Caenorhabditis elegans: one gene and its partners. The protein of the gene in region 1 purifies or fractionates together with the protein of each later gene. This does not show direct contact. Each region holds a gene or a part of one and is shown on either strand. Other genes may lie near its edges.

Region 1 (6,716 bases):
GTTGTAGAACATCGGGAAATTAATAGATCAATGGAAGATGGAGTCAGCTTGCAGTCATTTAGATAAAGTGTTCGAACTGTTGACGGAATGAATGCAAGAATTTGATCGATTGGACAGATCTCTTCTTTCTGAGGGCAGCTTCTGAAAAATTGTTTTTTTAAATTAAAAAGTGGAGTAGAGACAGTGGTTTTTTTCCATAAATTACAGTAACCAGTCTCAGTATACCGAATATAAGATGCTTAAAAATGTATAAAATTATTCTAAATTTTGTATTATTTTTTTTTTTCAATTTTGCAAACGACTCTACTCTTTTTTTTTCGAAAATTGAACATACGATATGAGAAGCTCTTTGACAGAGTACATTATCGGCAGAACCGTTTCGAGTTGAATAAAGCCGTCTTCGTGAAGATTCGTCATATGAATAACTTCTGCTTTTTTGAATATCGACGGGCAAGCATCAGCTAGATCCTTGACAGTATTATCCTCTTCGTCTCGAAATTGAATATTCAAAGTTGGAATCATTTTTCTTGTCGGTGAAAGATTATATGGTCCATTTGTGATGAATACTTGTAAAACTCGTGATCTATCCGACATGAATTGAGTCAAAGCAATAATAAGATTTCGCGGCATTTGTGGATCAGGAAAAACCAGCTGACACGTTTCCAGTTGAACTTCATGCAATGCCATCTCGACCATAATTTCTTCAATGAACCACGAGTTTTTAGATAGGCTCGGATTGACGTGGCAGCAGAAATGTTTCAAATTTGGATTTATTAGTCGTTTCATTCGTTCAATTTCCGTACACCATTGTCGATCGAGATGAAGTTCCAATGATTCGATTCGATCCAAAACGGCGGCGTCGCCTGATTCCTCATCCAATTCAAACGAAAAGTTTCGTGCATTTCTCACAATGATTCTGTTTAATTTGGGAAACTTTTCTATATTGTCCAGAATTTGTACAGTAAATCGACGGCATCTAATTTCAAACTCCACTATCCGATTGAGAAGTCGCTTGCTGACTCCGTTGAAGAAAACATCTTAAATTTAATAATAAATTCCTGAAAATTATCGTTTTTGCAGTAATTACCTGGATTTTGAATAGTATCCTTGTAATTATAGCCTACTATTTCGCTACGTTCATCTTCAGGAACATCTGAACAGTTTCGAACTGAAAGACGGGACGAGAAATTACGAGGTCGCATGAGAAGAGTGAGAATTGATGGCCACTGAAATAAAACATAATTATAATACAGGTTTAAAATAATTATAAGCAATCTCACATTAGGATCTTCTTCCAATCGAATCGCAAAATTTCCAGAAATCGGAGTTTTCAAGCACAATTCTCTCAATCTTCGACTCGAAAGCTCCAGTGAATTTCGATCTTTGAACCTCTCAACAAATTCGATAATCTTCATCATTAGCATGTCATTCCAGTATAGTAACGTCTTCGTTTCCTCACCATTTGGCATCAAAAACTGCAAAAATATATGTGATATGAGCGGAACAAGAACACAAATCTATGCGCAACAGCTTGAACAAACATTCGGTTGACCGAATCGAATCGATAAAGGTGCGGGGAGACTAGCGGAGCGTGGTGGTGGTCACTAATGGATTCTCGTGAAAAGATTTATAATTGATATTCAATAAATAAATCAACAATTAGCTTAATTTTAACTATTTTCAAATGAAACGGAACGCCGTCCAGATGCGTGTCAGCAAGTGCGCGCGTGCGTAAATCGATAAATTTGCTTTGACATTTTCGAGTTGCACACTCACAGCGCGCGGCTCTTTTCTTCCATTTTCTCATGCTTTTTTCTTGTTTTTCTCAATCCCTGCTTCAGCCGTTATTCATGTTTTATGTCTTGTTGTGTCTAGAATAAAACATTTATTAATAATTTTTTGTTTCAGTTATAAATGGCTGAGAAAAATCACCAACAACAAGAACGACTACCTGGCAACCCGTTTTTCCCATCAAGAAGCAACGCTGGCTCTTCATTTGACATGCCCGTAAGCTTTCTAATAATAATAATGGGAAAAAGGAATAAAAATATTTAATAATATGCAGGAAACACCACATCTCATCGATTCGCTCACTTCTCAAATCGACGAATTCACAATTCAAAGCATAATTGATACTCAGAGACAGAGGTAATATACTGGAGAATTTAGAATTTATTGATTTTTCTTTTTTTTTCAGCTTGAAACGCTTCGAAAAGACAAATGAAATGCTCATGAATTGCGCTCAACTCGGCGATCGAAGAATTGAAAAAGCAAAAAGGGATTCTGTGGGACACAAAGAGACAATTCTGCAGATGAAAACTGATTTGGAATTTATTTTCAAAAAAATTCGCATGTTCAAAACAGTTTTGTCGTCAAAGTATCCAGAAGTTTATGCTGAAGGTGCAGATATTTTAATTTGAATACTTTTAAAAAGTTCATCAAATTTCAGTGTCAGCCGAGCTAACGCCAAAACGAAGCGAGGAAGACGAATGAAATACAATTTATTCGTAATTGAAAAACAAGAAGAAAAAAAATAACAGATCATTTGGAACAAATACAAGTCACAGAAATTCAATAAAGATCTCAAATTTTTGATTAAAGTGAAGTCGAAATAAGTTATAAAATTTTTTGTTTTTAATTTAATTAGTAACTTCACTATGGGGACTTTTTGACACAAGAGAAACAATAGAAATTTGAATAGAGAAAATATTAATGTGGAGGTGGTTACTGTCGGAATAAAAATTTAGAGTTAAAATATCAATATTACACGATTATGATCTACGGTGACGTTTCGAGTCACGACAGTCATCATCAGAATCGGAAGAAGCTGATCTATCATCTGAGGAAGAATGACGGCGTTTTCTTTTTTCCTTTTTACTTTCCTTGCTCTTCTTCCTTTTTCTATCCTCTTCCTCATCAGAATCACTACTATCATCAGAATCATCTCGTCGCCTTCTCTTCTCTTTCCGTTCCTTCTTTCTCTCCTTTTTCTCGAGTTTCTTCGCCTTCTTCTTTTCTTTTTTCGCCTTCTTTTTCAGCTTTTTCTCCTTTTTCCGCTGCTTTTCCAAAGCAATGAGCGGAGTCTCGTCGTCACTTGATTCAGATGATGTCGAACTGACCTCGTACGCTTTTGTCGATACATTTGGACGTACTTCAATGTGATTTCGACACTGGAAGTATAGATGACCCGGATATCCACATCTTTTGCATGCTCCCGTGACTGCGGGGGCAGATATTGCGGCACCTGATATATCTGAAATTAAACAAATTATGTGATTTTAATTTCCTATGAACTACCGTACCTACAAAGGCGTTCGGGTCGTATCTTGATGGGAACGCTGACTGTGCTAGGGAAGCAAGTGAAGGTTTTTTACCTGAAAGTAGATTTTGAGTTTTTTTTTTGAAAAATTTATAAATACTTTTTTTCCAAAAAACCAAGTTTCTTTTTTGGAGTCGTTTTCAAAAAAGTTTTTTTTCGCTTTTTTCGTCCCCTAAATTGTTTTTTGTTCGGAAACATTTTTTTTGCGAATAAATCCATAGTAATTTAATTTTTGAAAATTTAAGATTACTTACCTGACTCATCATCTTTTGATAATGGGCTATCTGTGTCAGTTGTGGTAGTTACAGTTGTACTGGTAGATCCGAATTTTCGCACAAACGGCATCGGAGTCAGGTTAGCGTTCGCCATCTGTAATTGTAGTGAATATTAGGGAGTACTAAAAATAAGCAAAAAATAACGTGAAGAGGTGGTAAAAGACGCTGGTTTTATGCGCGTTTTAGAGGGGAAGAACTGTTCTCAAGGGAAGATGGGTTTTATAGAAAAATTATCGATTTTTCGGCGCTTTTTAATCAGAGAACATAGAAGAATTGGAAAACATGCTGAAAAGATTTAAAAATAAGATTTTTTTCAACAAAAAAAAAGAGAACTATCAAGAAAAGTGAAAAGCAGCAATGGAAGAAGTGAGAAAGAAATATGAAAAGTTTCGAAATTAATACGATTTTTTCCACTAGAGCACATTAGCACGGTGTTGTTTGAAATTTTGAATAAAATATTTTTAATTAGAAAAAAGGTATTATCTGATGCAAATTTATGCAAACTTCTCGAAAATGTTCGAAAAGCACTCCTGGTTTATAACCCTGCAAGTTTTCAAATTTCTGGATTATTAAATCGTCAATAATATCTCATATTTTGTGTATTTTCGTCGAGTTTTTTCGAGGATAATCTATTAATTTACTACTCAAAACCACAGAAAACGAGAATTCGTAGATTTACAACAGTAAATAATGCGAATTTTATTTGGAATACTATAAAAATATTGAACAAATTAGCGATTTCAAAATTAACTGACAAAAGAATTCGCGAAAATCGTTTCACAAAGAACTATATATTTTTTTGAAAAACAAAAATTCACTGTTTTCCTCGGGGAGTACACGAGCTCCGTAAATCGACACGCTTCCAATTCACTCTTTCCTTTCATTCATTATATTGTGTTCCAATAAATTAATTTGACGAATGATGATCGAAGTTAGCTTGACAAATGACTCCAAGAGCTCCACCCCCATCTGTTATATGTCCGCAAATCAATACAAAACCTCTCCCACCGCTTTCTCTTTTCTTTCTCCCGCGCTGGGTCTGGGCACAAGATGCTCTCGACAAACTCTTCTCAAGCACACTGCCCGGCTTCTCGCTCATGATACGTTCTCTCGTCGCGTCGTTTCGAAATTCACTTTACTTTCTCCACGATTAGTGGGTCGTTACAGAGCACGCCATCTTTTTCCAAAAGTAAATCTGTCCAAAATGCAGGTGAGTCCTATTATATTTGAAGAAATAATCTAGTTTTCTCTTATTTATGAGTTATAAATAAATCTTTAATATTCATTATAAAAAAATACGATCTATTTTCCTCGCGGTGAGACCTATATGAATGAATTCGTGTACCTTCAAGTGAGAAGTTTAGGAGATTAAAAATTGCGATATATTACGCAACCGCCAGAAATTATACGAACTGTGCAGCATATTTGGCACAATGAATATCTCGTTGCGACGTCTACAGTAACTTTGTAAATACTACCGTAACCACAGTGTTAATTTTGTTGGTTATATAATATTTGAAAATTACCTTCTCAAAAAAGAGGCATTGTTCAACTAGGAAAAAAAGTTTCCGATTTTCAGATCGAGAAACCATACGACTATGCTGCTCTTATGATCCGTGTCTCCGCCGGATTTGTTATTTTCATATCGTTATCATTGATACTTTTGGTAGTTGGAAATCTCATCTACACAAGTTTTACAGAACGAGTCAATTTGAATTCCAAAGTGAGAAATTTCATTTTCCCAAAAAACCTAACTAGTTTTAATTTTCAGAGATCCCGATAATCTCAATACTTATGCCAACCAAAAAAAAACCGCACTCTTTCCATAATCTTGCCACGTCATTAAATCGTTCCCAATTGTGTTACCTATAACTTATTGATTTGTGGTGAATAAAAAACAAGTATCTCTCTGATAAAACAACCGATCCAATGCGCAGATAAAAAGGTGAAGGTCTCTCATCTGCGTCTCTCAGGCTTCGGACTGCGCGGCAACAAAACCTGAAGAGGAGATGTGGCGGTAGCCACCGAGAACGGAATAAACTAGATGAGTGGAAGGAGACACTTGCAAGACGGTCGTTGCTTCCTTCTTTTCCTTCCACGTGTAGTGCTTTTGAATTCAAAAGTTTTGATTTTTCTTTTCTTGTAACTTATTCCGCCTATTTACAACAATTAAGTAACCATTTCAGTGACTAAACCGAACCAGCACAAAAATGCTGAAATCAATTATTGCCTCAGCATTATTTGCCATCTGTTGGGCAGCAAATGACCGTTCATGGACCACTGATGAAGGTGTCAAGATTGAAATTATCAAGAAAATTGGAGACTCAAAATGCAAAATCAAATCCGAGTCTGGAGATCAATTGGAGCAATTTTACAAGCTTTCCGACAAGGAAGGTAAGGTGATTGGAAGCAACTTTGGCCAAAAGCCGTACACTTTCACTCTTGGAAAAGGCGAGGTGATTCATGGAATGGAAATTGCAATGGAGGGAATGTGTGTCGGCGAACAGCGAAAAGTGATCATTCCACCAGAGCAAGGATTCGACGAAGATGGAGATGAAGTAGAAGGAGTAAGTTGATTTATATTTTTTAAAATCTATTTTTAAATTGCAAAACAAATAAAATGGTAATTTGTACTATTCTAGAAAGGAGAAACTCTATACTACTTCGTCGAGCTGAAATCAATCTTCCGTCCAAAACCCGGAGCCAAGTGGATCACTGATGAAGGAGTTCACATTCACATTACTCACGAGGTAGAGGGATGCACCGAAAAGGCTCAAGCCGGAGATACACTTCATCAACAGTACACACTAAATCTCGAGGATGGATCTTTCATCGATTCGAGCTGGAGCCGCAATCGTCCATTTATCTTCAAAATGGGCTCCGGACAAGTTATCAAGGGAATGGACATTGCCATGGAAGGAATGTGTCAGGGAGAGAAGAGAAAAGTTGTTATTCCACCAGAGCTCGCTTATGGAGAAAATGGAAGACCTCCAGCAATTCCAGGAAACTCGTACCTTCACTTCGATCTCTCACTTGAGAAACTTGTCAGACCAGGAAAAGAGGAACTCTAGATTAACTGAAAATCCCAACTTTCATGAATTTCTAACTTATTTTTAATAGAA
Region 2 (9,295 bases), on another chromosome or scaffold:
TCCCACGTATCTTAGAGTCATAAAGTTTTGTGTCGCACCTACGCAAAAAACAGAACACAAGTTTTGTTTTTTTTTCTCTTTTTGAACTAACGAGGGATGCACCTTTTCGAAATATTGATATCGTTTTGAATCTAAAGAATTTCTAAAAAACGGGATCATGGAAATTTAGAAAAAAAAAAGGGTTCTTGGCTAAACAAAATGGACTTACAACTTTAAAAGCAAACGTTTTTCGTTGTTAATTCGAGTATCAATTTTTTTACATTCAAATCAAAATAAATATAATAATAAATACTAGTTTGGAAACTAAGTTCAGAACAGTCAACAATCCAAATAGTTTCGCAAATTGGTCAGAAAGAAATACCAGATGAACTTAACCCATGCGATTACTGTAGCGCACCTCAAAATGAGAAAAATGAAACATCTCTAACTTGTGAACTACTGAGTGGAAAGTCCCGGATAGGTTGGTGATAGATAATTCAATTTTCAAAAAATTAATCTTTATTTCTAGAAGTCATATCTCTTTTTATGGATTAAAAACTTGTTATTCAGTTTTGCTTGTGTCAATTTCAATGCTTTAAAAAAATAATGTTATATCGTAGCTAATAAAGTATATTACATCATTCGGCAAACTGATAGAGTAAAAAGGTTATGTTTTAACTGGATTGATTTGACACACCATCCATAAAATTTTAACTGTGGAGTAGTGCTAATAGAAAATTTTGAAACCACTTTAACATTGCCAAAATAATGAAGTTTGATGGAAAAATTGTTTGAAAATTACATTGTTTACAGTCGAAAAGTTCACTTAGTCCTCACATACATATTACAATTTTAGAAAAACTGTGTCTATAATTTTCAAGTTTTGAGTCTATTTTAATAAATTGTATCTAGACATTGTAGGATTCAAACAAGTAATTTTTATAGACAGGTTGAAAACTCAAATTTTGTATAAATTCTTTCAATTTGAAGTTTTTTTTTGAAATCTTGTTTGTCATGTAATTTCAAAAGTGTATTTGCCTTTAAAAACAACTTTTTGGGGAATAACATATTTGAATACAAGAATCTATGGGATGTCTACATTATTTCTTTCTTTTATTTAACTTGAATTCTTTAAACTTTAACGAAACAACAAAACATACATGATCATTATCCTGATTTTGAGCAGCACTTTGCTGCAAAGACGCTGTTCCCGGCTCCACGATTATCTGCTCAATCATCTGATCGTAGTTATCTCTCTGTTCGGCCAAAAATGTTTGCCACTTGTGACGCTCCAATGGGAGATAGTGCAGAAGCAAACGCCATGCCAACGGTCGCAGAGATTCGGGAACTCCGTAGCTACACCCGGCTCTCAATTCGTTAATATCGATTTTCTTATTTGCAATGAGAAGTACCTCCTCGATTTTTGCAAGACGTTCCATATATCGAGACGTCATTCTGAAAGGTAGAGGTAGAAGGTGAAAAAGGTTTTAAAAAAAAAAGAAAGGAGGAGAAAAGACAACATAGGTAGAAACAAACGGAAAATAACAAAGCTAGTAGAAAAACCAGTGCAGGTAAACATAGAACCCAATTTTTCGTTTGAAACTAATATTTTGAACCCTTCATTTAGATAATTATTGACAAGAAAAATGCAAAAATCCCAGATAATTAGGCACTTATAATTAGAATTTGAATAGAAAAAGGAACATCAAACTATATAAATTAAGACCCCGAGATTAATAAAGTGACTTTCAAAATAAAACATATCATGAAAGATGAATATCATCAATGGTGGTGTAACTGAATGACTATGTTATGAGAATTGGGTGATTTCAACTAGAACTTGGTGAGACAATGACTGGCATATTTTGTATGGAGTTTTGTGGTTGATAAAATTCTGAAAAACTGGTAAAATGATGAGAAAACGAATGGTAATTAATATACAATACATATGTGTTGGAATAGGAATAAGACTGAGATAAGAGAGTTTGAGAGAAATAAAGACAATCGAAAAAGACCGGAATATGATTGATGTAAAGTGAGAGACGCAGCGAAAACGGGTACAACAAAAAGAGGTTGATCGGTGACCGGCGATTTCAGAAATGCATAATGAATATTTAACATAAAAGATTGATAAAAACGAATCAAAAGAAGAAAGGTAAAGTGGGTGAATAAAAAAGGCACGGAAATTGAGAAAAGTGGGAATATAATAAGCGTAGTTGTTGATCAATATCAGTATCACGGCATCAAATATGAAAGTTGCTTGTTGGAAAGTGTCAATTGGCCAGTCCCTGTCACTTCACAATCAACTCGAAGAAGAGTATACTGAAAATTGAACTCAATAAAACTGAAGTGAACCTACATATGAATCTAGCTAAAAGCTGCACATATTACGAAACTGGTTTAAAAATTGCAGCTGTTGAACACATGCCGAGTAAAACCTATCCGTTAAATCTCACGCAGGCAAGCACAAGCAATATTCCTACATGATATCTCAGAGTTGTAAAATCAATTTTTAAACTGGTTGAATAAATTTTATTTTATTAACTGCAACTTGTAAAAGCTTGGAATTATTCAACAGTTTTAGAGCTCTACTTTGGTAATTTTTTTTGTCAAAATTCTGGCAATTCAAAATTAAACATATAAAGTTACAGTTAATACTCTATAGATCCATAGAATGAAAGAAACCGTTAATCCAAAAATCAAAAAAAAAATTTCAAAGTCTCTCTTTCTAATAACGATGCAACGTAACACTAGTGACATTTTTGATAATATCTACACAAATATAACTGCTCCTACTACTTGAACGTTCAAATTGATTTTAAAAAAACTACAATCAACCAATGGCTGTGATCAATTCATTTCTAAATCTCAAATTAAAGTCACTGTAAAAAATAACTCGCATTGAACGTCAGGAAACTTACAGAGACATGAGAATTTTGCAATTAATATATTTTTTCTGATACTGAAGGCAAATTTGACAGTTGTGAAATCAATGCCTACAGTTTAACAAAAATATTTTTTTTTACTAATCATATTTTTTTGAACTCCCTAGTTACCTGATCTTGGAGAGTTCCATTCATTGGAACACTAGGCAGGAGCAACGATAGTTTGGGAACCGAGTTTGCTCCTTTAATCAATGAAGGCAGAAGCACGTAGTCTTGAAGTGTCATAATGTACAGTGTATCTCCCTTTTGGCGAACAATTGAAGCGATTTTGTCAATATCTTGTCGTTTACGTTGAATTTTCTCGTTATCCAGTTGAATATTGTTTCCGCTTTAAATTAATTATTATTTACATGTTATTGAAATAGTTTTGTTGTTTGCTGCTGGAATTGCAAATGCATTTGAATAATTTTCAATTGGTCCGACTTCTTCGTTTGCAATTACGGTCATGTCATCTCAATACAAAGTGAACAAAGTAAAACATGAACTCGAAGTTCGATTACGTCGGTAGTGTGCCCATTCGTGTCATTATGAATTTTAAATTAAAGAAAAAGTCTACTTACGTCTTCAGTAGATCCAACTGCTTCCATGTACGTTCCCGAGATCTGAGCGCCGCTTGCTCTGATTTCTTTTGAACCGCCAATGTCTGTGGTCCATAAACTGAGGCTGGTTTTACTTTCTGTGCGTAGTTGAACTTTCGCATTGCTTCCTTATTTAATAGTCCTCCCGAAAACTTCATTGGAACATTATCAAATGAATGTACTTGTACCCAGCGCTCAATGTCGTTGTTTACTCTGAAAAGAGTAGTCAGTTATAAAAATTGTTCATTTTCAAGTCCCTCACCTTATTGTCTCTGTGGCGTTTAGTTTGTACATATCACAATCATTTTGAGTGGAGTTCGGATAGTTGTGGATTGGTTGTTGAGTAGGCTAAACTTTTATAAGAGATTTTTAAATATTAAGCTCGTACACATACAATTTTTGCAACAGGAGCACTATCTTCATACGTGATGACTCTTCCGTGGCGAGCAACCATAGAAGTTTCGTTGGAAATTGCCATGATTTGATTGTTTATATTCAAATTGTTATCGACATTAAATGGAGAGATGACTGCAAAAAGTCCGAACATCATTAGTACTGAACCAGCAGCAATAATTCTTTTTTTCTTCTGATTTCTTCCAAAGGGTTGTGGAACTTCGACAACTGGCTCTTCGTGCTGAAAATGTATTTTAAAATGTTAAAATTTTTATGAGTTCAGAACTACTTCAAAAAACGCAAGGCGTTGCTTCAAAGCGGCATTCTCAGTTCTTAGAATCTCGTTTTCTTGAAGCAGTTCCTGAAGGTTCATTTTCATATGTTCATCGGCTTCCTTCTTGCGCATGCGAGAGGCTTGGGCGTACATTCGGTTCCGAATTTTTCGATTTTGCTCGGAAGTAAAAACCTGGAAATTGTAAAGTCATGAATTTAAATATGTTTTGAAGATAAGCTCACTTGTGGTTCTGCTTTGATATCTACTGTCGGAGCAATTGGAACGTATCTTGGCTCTTCGGACACTTGTCGAACCAGCGGACCACTTTTTGGTTGCATATGAATTTCTTGAACCGGCTCATTGTAATACATTTGCTTGATTTGGCGTTGCGTAGCTTGTGAAGGAGATGGCATCTGAAAAAAATTCGAATAAACTATTTTACTTGACGTTCAATCGCTCACCAAGGGCTGAACAACTCGGTATGTTTGTTGCTGACTGCCGGGTGATTCCTTGACGCGGTATACTTTCTGGATTGGTCTGCTGACAATACGTTTCACAGGCTGTGACTGTTTGGGGAGAATTGTGATAATTCGTTTTTGTTGCATGGGCAAATGCTTGGCCGGTTCTTCTCTGAGGTATCTTGCGTTCATGAATTCATTGGTGGGCTCGGCAATCACTTCGTCGTCCTGATATGGAGAGCCAAATTGTTGCTCAAAATTCTCGAATGGACTGCGACTCTGCAAAACAAACGACTAAGTATGATATTGATAGATTAGGATTTTGTAGTTGATATTAAATTTTGAACAAGATTTTGTGTAGTATCCGTACCCCGAAATTAAAAGTAAAGTAATTCTGTAGGAAAATTTTGTCTTCGTGCTAAGTTTTCATGGTAGGAGCAAACATCATACACACAACAACTTGCATGTAAGGTTGTTTAAAATAAAACACATTTCCATTAAACAATAGAGTGTAAACGATCCGTTTCGACAAACATTTTTAACGAGTTTTGTGCGAAAAAAAACAACTTACTTGAAAGCCAAAATCCCACATTTCCTGGTCATTTTCTGTGAAGTTTGCACAACTCAACGGTGGAGAGCTATCCGACGAAGAATCTCCTAAACTCCCGCCGTCTCTTGAGCGAAATCCAGCATTCTGATCACTGAAACCAAACGAAGAGGAAGAGGTCGATTCTTGTGATTCGTCGGTCCCGTAAAGTAGGCTCTGAAAATCGATATTTTGTATTAGTGGTCCTTTCAAGACACAGAAAGAAAACTCACGTCCAACTCTAGCTGGTCAAATTGCGGCGGAAAATTTGGGTTATGCAGGAGATCATCAAAGTTTGATTCATGAACCGTATTGTCAAAGTTCATCTGAAATTTAAAAAGTTTTTGAAATACAGTGTTAGAGAAAAAAAAGAGAAGAATAGGTTTCTAAAGACAAATAATCCTAAAACTCAATCACATTTTTAGAAACTGGTAAGATTAAAAAAAAAATCTTAGATATATCTCAATAGCAAGAAACGAAAATCAGGTAGATGAAAGAAGTGACCATGAAAAAAGGAGGGCAAGACGATTAAGGATAGCATCCAATGAAATATCAACGGAGCGCGTTTGCACACGACCCCGGCTGGCACACTGCCAGTACGCCGGTCAAACGACCGGAGAGGCAAGGGGGGGGGGGGCAGAGTCAGAGAAAAAGAGTCCCCGGCACAGTGACAGTGAGAAGGCCACCACAGTAGATGAGGACGAGGTGGCGCTCTCGCAGTGTTTGTTCTGTCGCAGAATTTTTGTTGCGGAGGAAGAGGAGTGGGCAAGCGAAAATGGAAGACGGACAAAAAATGGAAAGTGGGTCACTAAAAGTATAGTAGTAAGGTAATAAACGGGGAAGGGATAGCGGCTATATTACTTTACGATCTTATTTTATAAACCAAATAAAGAAACCACTAATTAAAGCAAAAATTCATAGAAAAAAAAATGATATACTGTATTTTCTCTACTTGTCTTTAGTTTTTATTTCGGTTGTGCATAATTTTATCAGTCATTGACTAATACTGTTTGCCTTCTTTTCTAAAGCTCAACAGACGAACATCCACTGGGTTTGAAAAAAAGACCAAACCAAATTTAAGTTTTAAATTTCAATAATATGCAGAGAAAATTCTACAATATAATAGATTGTCCTGTGACTGTAGTTGTATTAGAGAAAATATTGGGTTTCCTAATAGTTTAGCATTGACTTGTTGACAGGCGAGCAATACTTTGTGGAATATTTGTTTTGTAAACTTTTTTGTTTTTAGGGTAAAGTCAATTTTCGAAGTTAAAATGGCCATTGAAATTCCTAATGGAAAAACATTCATATTTTTAGTTGGCGTCAAATCAGTTTCACAAAAATAATTCTTGCAATTTATATTAATCTTACACCCCTACAATTTGATGGAAAATTAGTACGGTAGTAAGGTAGGCGATATTGCAATGTTTGTATGTATACAATTTAATTTTCAAATACAAAATTCGATAACCGCGCAACTACACTAATAAGAAATCTCTAAATACTTTGAAAAATAACTTTTTAGTGAACCCCAAGTATTTTTTCCGACAATTTTCTTCAAATATTAAACAATGTCTTCTAGAAAACCAAACCAATAAAAAGCAAATCATGAGAAATTTTTTTCCAAGAAAGGAACACTTTCAAATAATATCGACGACGAAAACTTTTATTGTGTATACTCTTGCAAGTGGCTTTGAAAGTTCTGGTATTTCTTCACATCACACTTTGATTTGTTAGTACATAAAAGCTAACATTTCTTGTCAAAACTGTTCCAAAAGTAAAAGTATCAACAAGAATGATCTTATAAACAATACACAAGAAATATGAACCTCTGTTGATTAAATTTACCCCGCAGTGAAAAACAAACACTTTGCATTAGTATACACAAAAAGAACGAGTGGAAAAAAAACGACGTGACGTGTAGCATAGTAGCACCAAATGGAACCGCACTTCATTTGAATAAAATAAAAGTGCAAGTGAACACTTTTTGGCTAGGACTACACTAATCGTCGTCGAGAACGGCCGGGGGATGCTAAGTGTGTTACTATGGCATTGAATTATGTACGAGGACCAATGTGCACTTGTGTGTGCTTTTGGGCAATCCAAGCAGCGATTCATAAAATAAATTGTGTGGGGTGGAAAGTGGGCGATGCTTTGTGAAATAAAAAAAATTAAATTGAAAGCTAGTGATGACCTTTCAAATTCAGAAGCTTCAACCATAAAAAGTGATTAAACATGATGCTATGGAATAATATAACTGGTGAAGCTACTACAATAAAATGTTAAAAAATAAAAAAAAGTACTTGAAGGATATAACGCGAGTTGCTGTGAAAAAAATGTCTTCCCTTTTTTAGGGGAAAAACATTTGTAAAATCTTCATCGTTTTCACTATTAAAAAAATATTTTAAGTGAAAAAATTATTTTGAAAAATGAATGTTGCTCAAAATTTAAACTTAAACTGGAAAACAATTGGTTATACTTTTAAAAAATATTTTCATAAAACCGTCCTATCATTATAGAAAACACGTGAAAGGACAATTCTGATACTACCTGAAACATAAAGTGCTTGTTATCGAATACCCTCTCCTCTGTTAATATTTAAAGAGTAACGTTGTTAATTTTATTGTTATCAGCAAGTGTATTCATCATAACAGGGTATTTATAACATATGAAACAGGGCATACAATTCATATTGTTAGTGCAAACGAGAAAGAAAATAAAGCAGGAAAACGGGGGGACGCAAACAAATTTGAACAACTGTTGAATATAATAGATTAAACTAGTAATATGTGTATCTATCGTAGAAGTCAATTTCCGGCAAAATCGGTCTAAAGCTTTATTGAAAAAATGCACTCATATGTTTAGCATTTTAAAAAATCTAATATCTCTGGTAACGGCTCTCTAATTAGATATGTTATAATTCCAATTCCATGTCAAAAATGAACGTTATTTTAGTTTTCTAGAAGCTTTTGCAGAGTTTTAGTTACATTAGTTTTTGTTTCAAGTATTGGTTTTCAACTTCTAAAACGCATTTTTTAACGGCTGACAAAATACTAGAATATTCGAAAAAGTTTATATCCAACAGTTGCAACCGATAGGTTGGCAAAAAGGCAGTTTTAAACAATCAATTGAATCTAACATTGCCGTGGAATAAAAATTTTTGTTGCTCTTTATATCACTTTTTAATTTAGTTGAAAGCCTTCCATGCTGATTCGAACAAATCGTCATGTTTCAAAAACTCCAAGTTCAAAACTTCATATCACTTTAAAACGGTTTGCGAATTATAGTTTTTTTTTACATGAAAATGTGTTTTTTGGTTAAGACTGTGCATTAGAAACAAACATAGTTTCGATTATCACTTCTTATTTTGGTTTCACTTAGATTCTCTTCAAAATGTTGCATTGGCGAGATTTTTTTTTTTAATAATTTTTATCCGTTTGACAGAAAACATTAAATGCAAAGAGCATGTTCTGATATTTCTATTGCACCAACGCAAATAAAAATGTATGAAAGAATGTCTGTCTTCATTGTTCAGGACCTTTCTGAATTTCGGTAATTAGAACCTTCGCGTTTTTGCATTGCCTTGCTATCAATATGTTCATTAGATATTTTTATGCACTAGCATTAATTTTCAATAACCTTTTAACTTACTACGTCAAATGTCCTTACAAAACGGGACAGGTGAAATCTAGAATAAGTAGATGTATTTGAACAAGGCTTTGAAACGTAACAGGCTGATCAAGTCTTTGCTCCAAAATTGCAATCTGATATTTGACAATCACAAAACATTTGTGGTTCTTACACTCCCTTGGTAGTTTAATCACTCTTGGATATGAGTTCTAGCAACTCAAGTGCTCAGCAAGATGCTGAGCATGAATTAGATTTCACAGTTTCATGTATTGGTGTTGTACCATTTGTTTTAGTCGTCTGGTTGTACTACATGACAAAAAGGACTGACGACAAAGTGAGTTTAGCATTATTCTGCGTTAGTACATTTTTAATAAGGTGCACTTTTAGAGATCATATTATGCGATTCATTTCAATCTGGTGACATTAAGCTCTGTTCACATTGTTGGATCGTT
Region 3 (6,665 bases), on another chromosome or scaffold:
GATATTCTTATTCAAAAAAGTTTCCGTTTTTCAGTTTTTCAAAACACTTACCGTATTTTTCCCTCAACTTTGGAACAGTAACCAATTTTTTATAGAAAAATTAAAAATATATACTTTTTCAATAATTCATCAATTATTTGAAAGGTCTTTTAGTTTGATTTGTCACAAAAAATGCCAAACGTTGACATTTCCGCAAAGCATTAGACGCTAATTTTTTCAAGTTCAGTATGCTTCAATGTGGAATCGAACGCTCTATAATCAACTTCCGCCCACTAACCCTGATTTCGTATCTCTGTTGGGAATACAATGTGCCTGCGATACGAAGTCGCTTGTCAATGACAGATGTTTTGCATATTTCTGGTACATTACCAGATACCCGTTCGGGTATTATTATTTCGACAATAGAGGCAAAAAGATTGTCGTTAATGAAAAGATTGACAACGTCAGATCCACCTTTATCTCAATGTCTTGGTACTCTGAAATTAAATTACGTCATTAACAAATAAAATACCAATTTCAGCAAAGAATGGCCGTGAAAGGGACAGAAGTCGTGTATTGTGTCGATTGTCGTAATAAATGGTTATCATACACTCATTGTTCAATGTCGTTGCAAAAACGTTAATATAAATGTTTAAAACATAATGTTTTTTGTTGAAGATTTGCATGTATTTTACACGCTTACAACGACCCAGGCACCCGTGGCGTCATTAAAAAAATAATACAATACAAAATAGTGAAGATCATCTCTCAATTCCGCGGTTGACCAATGGGACGCAAGAACGAAACTAATGTGGATTTTCTGAAAGATCCTTTTTTTTTTGAAATACGTACTATAATAATCGCCTTCTTCTTTCAGAACTGTCTAGCTATTTTATTGCAAATGTTGAGCTTTTCTGAATTTAAAACATAATTTTATTACGGAATATGTAAAAATTGACAGGTGGTCAAAAAGTAGACAGATTTGTTTGATGAAAGATTTAATTTCTGAAATTTTGTTAAAACGATTGTTGAATTATGTGTGCTTTCTGTTCAAGAACATAATGACGAATGCAGTGTACTTTGAATTAAACCGTATTCTATTAGTACTGCCCCCCCCCCCCGACTTCTCAAAAAAAAGGTTAAAAAAATGTTATCCACTCAAGACTTTCTACAATTTATTCTCAGATCTATAATATCAAATTTCAAGAACTTTCAGAAATAAAACCCCCATTTTCCAAATTTTTGAACCGTTTAAAAATTAAATTAATAAACGATCTCAGCTTGACTAACACACTTTTAGGATTGATAACAAAAGATATAAACCAAAAGTGGTGGAGAATATATTCAGTGGCTTATTGGCGGTTCAAAGGCGGCCTTATTCATATTCAGATACAGAAGGCAGCCCTGTCCAGAAACTACTGTTGTGTTTCAAAATTTTCTCAATTAGTTTTGCAGTCTTCAACATTCTTACATTCTAACAAGCCAAAATAAAATTAGTTGCACATCATATGTGGTCTGCGTCTAGTGCGGAAGGACTATTGTATTTATTGATATCTTAACAATAGTCTACATGGACATTATTTATTGCTACAATCGACGAAGTTCAAGGCCACTTTGTACTGAAAAATCAAACTCACAATCAGTTAAATTCAAAATAACCTAAAGTCAAAATCATTTACCATCTGAACCCAAGAACTTTAGATTTCTTCCCTCCCCAATCCTCTCCGGTGATGTATTTCGTTCCAGTATCATCCATGTATGTAACTCCATACGGATATTGTGTTACATACCATTCCCCTTCATGACAATATATCCCGAGTTCGACCATAATGTTTATAGAGGAGTGTTCTGGCTGATCTTCTTCGGGAATCGTGGGAATCAGCTGAGATTGTTTAGTCAAGTTGATGATGCATTCTGGTTTCCCTTACCATTGCACCCGTACGATTACCAATACCAGGAATCTCCGACCCGTCAAAACTAGATCGGATGAATGTTTGGGAGTCTGCATTACAAGTGAAATTGCTACTGCAATGATTTCCATTAAAGGTGTACAGAATATTTTCAGACGAATCTGAAATCAATTAAGTTGGCTTGAGAGCTAGCCCACCAATTTAAATACCCTCGACCAAGCTCATCAGGTCTGAACATCTGCACATATTTGCGCTGAAACTTGTATATATTTTTTTAAATCGTATTATTTCACGGGTACCAAGAAAATCGTGAATCCGTCGACGAAACTATTGATCTGACGCCTTCCACGCTGTACCCATCAATAACAATCTTCTCATCGTTTTGATTGAAATAGGAATACCCAAATGGGTATCTTGTCACAATCCACTGGCTTGTACTGCGGTCACACTGCATTCCCAACAGAGAGACCAGGTCAGTGATAGGACCCCCGGCATAAACCCCCATAGGGTCTGTATGATTCCAAGTGAAAGCAAACTAAACGTAATCAATCTTGAGGGTGTGTTAAAGTGCTTGTAACTCACAAATGTATCCTCGTAAATGTCACTTGGAGTGGGTATGTCGGACAACTCCCAGGACAAAGTTAGCCACGTCCAATAGCCGACCGTGCAGTATACGGTTCTGGAGCAACCTAGCCCCTCGTAGTATACCGTGTTTTCTGCATCTGAATACATCTAGTTACGACTAAACTGTCAGAGCAGCTGGCTTACCGTTCAGGTTGTCATAGAGATTGGAGCACGGGCAACTCTGGTTCTGACATGCTAGACGTTCCATGCAGAAACACGAAAAAAATATGACCAGAAAAGCAAAAATTTTGATTTTCATGTTGTCATGTGAACAATTCTCTAAACGTCTGTCCTTTTATTCACCGAGTTGGTTCGTAAATTGATCTGTTAATATGTTAATAGCTAGGATGTTGGAGCACCAGAGATCAATACTGTAGACATTTTGATTAATTAACACAAAAGATGTTCGGTCAGTTGCCATTTTAAGATAGAGCCGGATAAAAAGATTTTGTCGACATCAGACCAACTTATACCAAGAAAGGTAGGTAGAAGGATTCGCCTACCTACCCTTTAGTTATCACGCTTTTCATCACTAATGAAACTTTTGTAAGCCAATCTTGGGTGTGTTGCTTTCCATGGGAAAAAGTTTTAAACTTTTCAAATTATGGTCTATGTATATTCTTGAATTATAACTTTAAATTTCCGCAAAGCCGGAAGTAGTCAAGCATTGATGTTTGGTTAAATACTCTAATTTGCATTTGGAAAGTAACACTTAACAAGATTATTGATCAGCTAACCGTATAAAAGCCACTCAAAACTATACTGTCTATGGTCGAAATGAAGCAATATCTCATTTTCCTACTTCTCATTTGCTATGTTGCCTGCGAAGACGAATATGGATGCGAAGACGATTGTGAGTGTCCAAGCTTTCTTGATCTAATAACAAGTAAGTTTTTGCACTACCTACTACCTTTTCCTCCACCAAATCGTTTTTCTACATAGATGAAGAACACATATTTTACACGGAAAATGCTGGATGCAATCGGAATGCGACGTGCGTGCCAGGTACTCATACTACAATTGCCTTTCGTTGGAGAGAATCCGAAATTCCTAAGCCAGATGATGACGTTACGGGCCTTGGAGTGAGTCTTCCATGCTTTCAGTAAAAATTTCTAGATTCCTGGTTCAGACTGTTCAAGCTGTTCTTGGTACTGCCGGCCCATTTGACATCTTTACACAATGCGGCGTGATCTGTGAAAATAATGAATGGTACATCACAAAATATCCAAGAGGAGCTGTCTATAGAGGATCGGACTTTTCAAACAGCCTGGTCGAAGAGGACACTGTTAATGGGCTGAAATCCAAGGTCTTTTTTGTATTGTGGTAAGTGGTAAAGGTGAAAACATGATTAATTTAACAATATTCCAGCGATGAGTGTCCATCTTGAGTGAGCTCAAACCTGGAATAAACTAATTGAAATGCTTTAAAAATAATAAATGATTTCAGCTTGACTAACACACTGTTAAGTTTGATAACAAAGTATATAAATCCAAAAGCGGTGGAAAATTTATTCAGTGCACCATCGACGGACCTTATACCGTTTCATACACAGATACAGAAGGCAGCCCTGTGCTGTATGACTTTGGTGCTTTCGTTTTCAAAAAAAAAAGTCGGCACATTGTGCCGATCGGCACTCGTCACTTCGGCACATTAGAAAAGAAACTAAATAGCTTCTTAAACAAATCAAATTCTTTTACCATTGAAGTTAGTAAAATTGAAATTAACATGATAAATTCCGTACATATTAATCAATTTTTGAAGTTTCTTTGCATTTATGAGTTTAAAAAATTAATTTTGGTGAATATTCCGAACAGTGCCGAAAAAAAGGTCGGCATATGCCGATGTGCCGATGCAAAAGTTAGACAATGTTCCGATTCGAACCAGACGGCCTCGTGGATGATATCAGAAAAGAGCTTCTGTAAAGATTTTTTTAGCAAACGAGTCCCAAAACACAAACTCTAAATTTAACTCACTGTATAACATTATTCCGTTTCCAGAAGATCTTTCTAAACTCTGGATACGTTGTGATGACTACCAATGAGTTCAACGTGGAGTGTGTAGTTGCTATCATCATTGAGTACCGGGAAATCTCTAAAAATGCATATTTCTTCCCGAAATGCAGTGGAGAGACGAACCTTGTGAGTATCTGGTTGGAAAGTTTGTCACGACGAATAGCATGAATGCTGGGATAAACGAGACAGGGGTAGTCATGAACTGGAAATTTGAATTGGAATTTGAGCTTTATTACTTTTTAGCACTGTACCTGCATTATCAGGCTTCTCAGAGCAATCTTATGCCTACTCATGGCACTCTTGGACAATTGACTTTGAACCGCAGTTAACGCATTATACATTCGAAAAACTAGAAATGATATGACAACTGTTGTCTTAAAGGTCCCAAACACTGTAAACACAAAGAACATTTACTTGACCTTTACCTATTTATCCTATTTATCCTATTTATCCTTGACCTATTTATTTTTTGGTTGACCCTGAGCCCCCTCCCCTTAGGCAGTCCTACTCAATTTTATCCAATTTACGTTTTTTTTTCAGATAATGATCAAGTTCATTATTTTCTCCGCAATCCTTATCGGAGCCATTCTCGGAGCACCATTGGCTTCTGACGATGACATTGACAATGTCCACGATTGCTCCGTCCGTGACAAATTTTTCAGATTGTACAGCACCGGGAAAAACTGCAGCAAAGTAAGTTTTACATCACCTTTTTATTATTAATTTAAATTTTTTCAGGGAATGAGTCGTTATCATCAGTGTCATCAGGACACATCCTCGACTCGTTGTAACTACTACCTGAAGCAGTGCGATGAGTACATGTTCTGCCAACGGAATGGTGAATGCGAGATTGAATACCAAGGTGGTGTTAAGACCAGCGTTTGTCCAGGAGTGGAAATCAACGAGTTTGACTTCAAGGAGTGTCTCGTGAAGCTGCTCGCCAACAAAGTGAGATCGGAATGCCTTGTCAGCTGGGATCCATTCATGCAAAGATCAGGAGGTGATGTATGCGGTGCGTTCTTCGGAAGTGCAGCGTGTATGAAGAAGGAGATCACCGAGACTTGTGGAGAAGCCGACTGGAGAATGGTTCGAAAAGTGGGTTTTATCGAAAAGTTGCTCGAGAAGTATAAAAAATTTGTTTCAGTACGTCGCTCGTCGCACGCCGGAGATCAGAAACTGCGTATCTTACAGGCTTCAGTAGATGTGTAATTTTCAATAAATTTTTATACATATTATACAACGTATCCTTACAAGACAAAACTCAAATTCGAAATTTCTGCAAAATTTGAAGCAAAACACAAAAAACTAGAAGAATCTAGCTCAATTTTAAAATTTCTAGTGGTAAATCCAAAAGGCACGTAGGCAAGTAGGCACGTAGGCATATAGGCACGTAGGCACGTAGGCATATAGGCACGTAGGCACGTAGGCACGTAGGCAAGTAGGCAAGTAGGCGCGTAGGCACGTAGGCAAGTAGGCAAGTAGGCACGTAGGCACGTAGGTAGGCGACAGGCTATGAAACCGCAGCTGTTTTCCTAGGAAGCTGCAGGTATTCGTAAACATCATTCAACAAATACTTTATTAACAATTAATAAGCTCCTCCACTACATCGTCGCAATCAGCTGAACTCGGCCGTGAGGCTGAAATAATCAAAAAAATTATGAACTGCCTAATACACCTAACTTACATGAATCGAAGATGATTTGAAGAATTTTGGTTGCGGTAGTTTCCTAAATTAATTGGGCAATACTATCTTAATTTGAACTCTATTCTACTTACCTTGCTAGGAAATTCCTGTACTGAGAGGTGGATAGGATCAGAACGCCAGCGTTGACTATTGAATGAAGTGCACAGATTGCTAGGCAGAATTGGGCGATTGCTGTAGTTAGTATTTTATTTTTTAGAAGCTATCAAACAGAGGCCATGTCCACTTACCTTGCGCATATTCAGATTTATTGAAGATCAGGGCCACAAAAGTCGTTAAAGGTACGACTAGCATCATGGAAACGACCAACTGAGCAATAAGGCTTTGAATCGTAGCTCTGTACCGCTTCAGGCTCGACCTGGACACCCTAGTCTGTAGGTCCTTCATCATCCGAAACATATCAGCCGTTGTGAAAATCGCAGCGCCTCCGCAAAAAAG

The links. Proteins that work in one complex are often made in the same cells at the same time.
Region 2: the proteins of C13F10.7 (region 1) and atf-6 fractionate together in Caenorhabditis elegans (co-fractionation; one large-scale study listed by BioGRID). This does not show direct contact.
Region 3: the proteins of C13F10.7 (region 1) and T10D4.11 fractionate together in Caenorhabditis elegans (co-fractionation; one large-scale study listed by BioGRID). This does not show direct contact.

Annotation. Positions count from the first base shown.
Region 1 is NC_003283.11:7,219,565-7,226,280, forward strand, and holds C13F10.7 (CCHC-type domain-containing protein), read right to left. Parts: upstream 3,689-6,716; coding exon 3,574-3,688; intron 3,375-3,573; coding exon 3,303-3,374; intron 3,254-3,302; coding exon 2,772-3,253; 3' UTR 2,494-2,771; downstream 1-2,493. Other genes in the region: C13F10.6 (FTH domain-containing protein), read right to left, coding at 1-141, 335-1,037, 1,088-1,226, 1,281-1,415; kxd-1 (KxDL domain-containing protein), read left to right, coding at 1,915-2,007, 2,066-2,148, 2,198-2,400, 2,450-2,493; C13F10.1 (50S ribosomal protein L6), read left to right, coding at 4,514-4,804, 5,174-5,317, 5,366-5,377; fkb-3 (peptidylprolyl isomerase), read left to right, coding at 5,805-6,161, 6,237-6,665.
Region 2 is NC_003284.9:12,477,192-12,486,486, reverse strand, and holds atf-6 (Transcription factor atf-6 homolog), read right to left. Parts: upstream 5,540-9,295; coding exon 5,447-5,539; intron 5,391-5,446; coding exon 5,199-5,390; intron 4,907-5,198; coding exon 4,631-4,906; intron 4,583-4,630; coding exon 4,412-4,582; intron 4,362-4,411; coding exon 4,185-4,361; intron 4,137-4,184; coding exon 3,897-4,136; intron 3,851-3,896; coding exon 3,765-3,850; intron 3,716-3,764; coding exon 3,485-3,715; intron 3,253-3,484; coding exon 3,036-3,252; intron 2,302-3,035; coding exon 2,215-2,301; 3' UTR 1,583-2,214; downstream 1-1,582. Other genes in the region: tbc-13 (TBC1 domain family member 13), read right to left, coding at 1,140-1,433; F45E6.1 (Serpentine Receptor, class Z), read left to right, coding at 9,046-9,177, 9,231-9,295. UniProt on the Caenorhabditis elegans protein: Transcription factor. Plays a role in the unfolded protein response (UPR), perhaps mainly during constitutive endoplasmic reticulum (ER) stress, by activating transcription of genes involved in the UPR.
Region 3 is NC_003280.10:3,146,850-3,153,514, forward strand, and holds T10D4.11 (CW domain-containing protein), read right to left. Parts: upstream 2,773-6,665; coding exon 2,658-2,772; intron 2,612-2,657; coding exon 2,472-2,611; intron 2,425-2,471; coding exon 2,189-2,424; intron 2,143-2,188; coding exon 2,099-2,142; intron 2,051-2,098; coding exon 1,908-2,050; intron 1,862-1,907; coding exon 1,659-1,861; intron 1,599-1,658; coding exon 1,583-1,598; downstream 1-1,582. Other genes in the region: T10D4.1 (DUF19 domain-containing protein), read left to right, coding at 3,291-3,399, 3,456-3,595, 3,643-3,840; T10D4.14 (G_PROTEIN_RECEP_F1_2 domain-containing protein), read right to left, coding at 4,372-4,429, 4,487-4,604, 4,649-4,727, 4,777-4,866; T10D4.19 (T20D4.11-like domain-containing protein), read left to right, coding at 5,069-5,218, 5,264-5,620, 5,670-5,726; sri-32 (Serpentine Receptor, class I), read right to left, coding at 6,127-6,162, 6,210-6,252, 6,302-6,401, 6,458-6,665.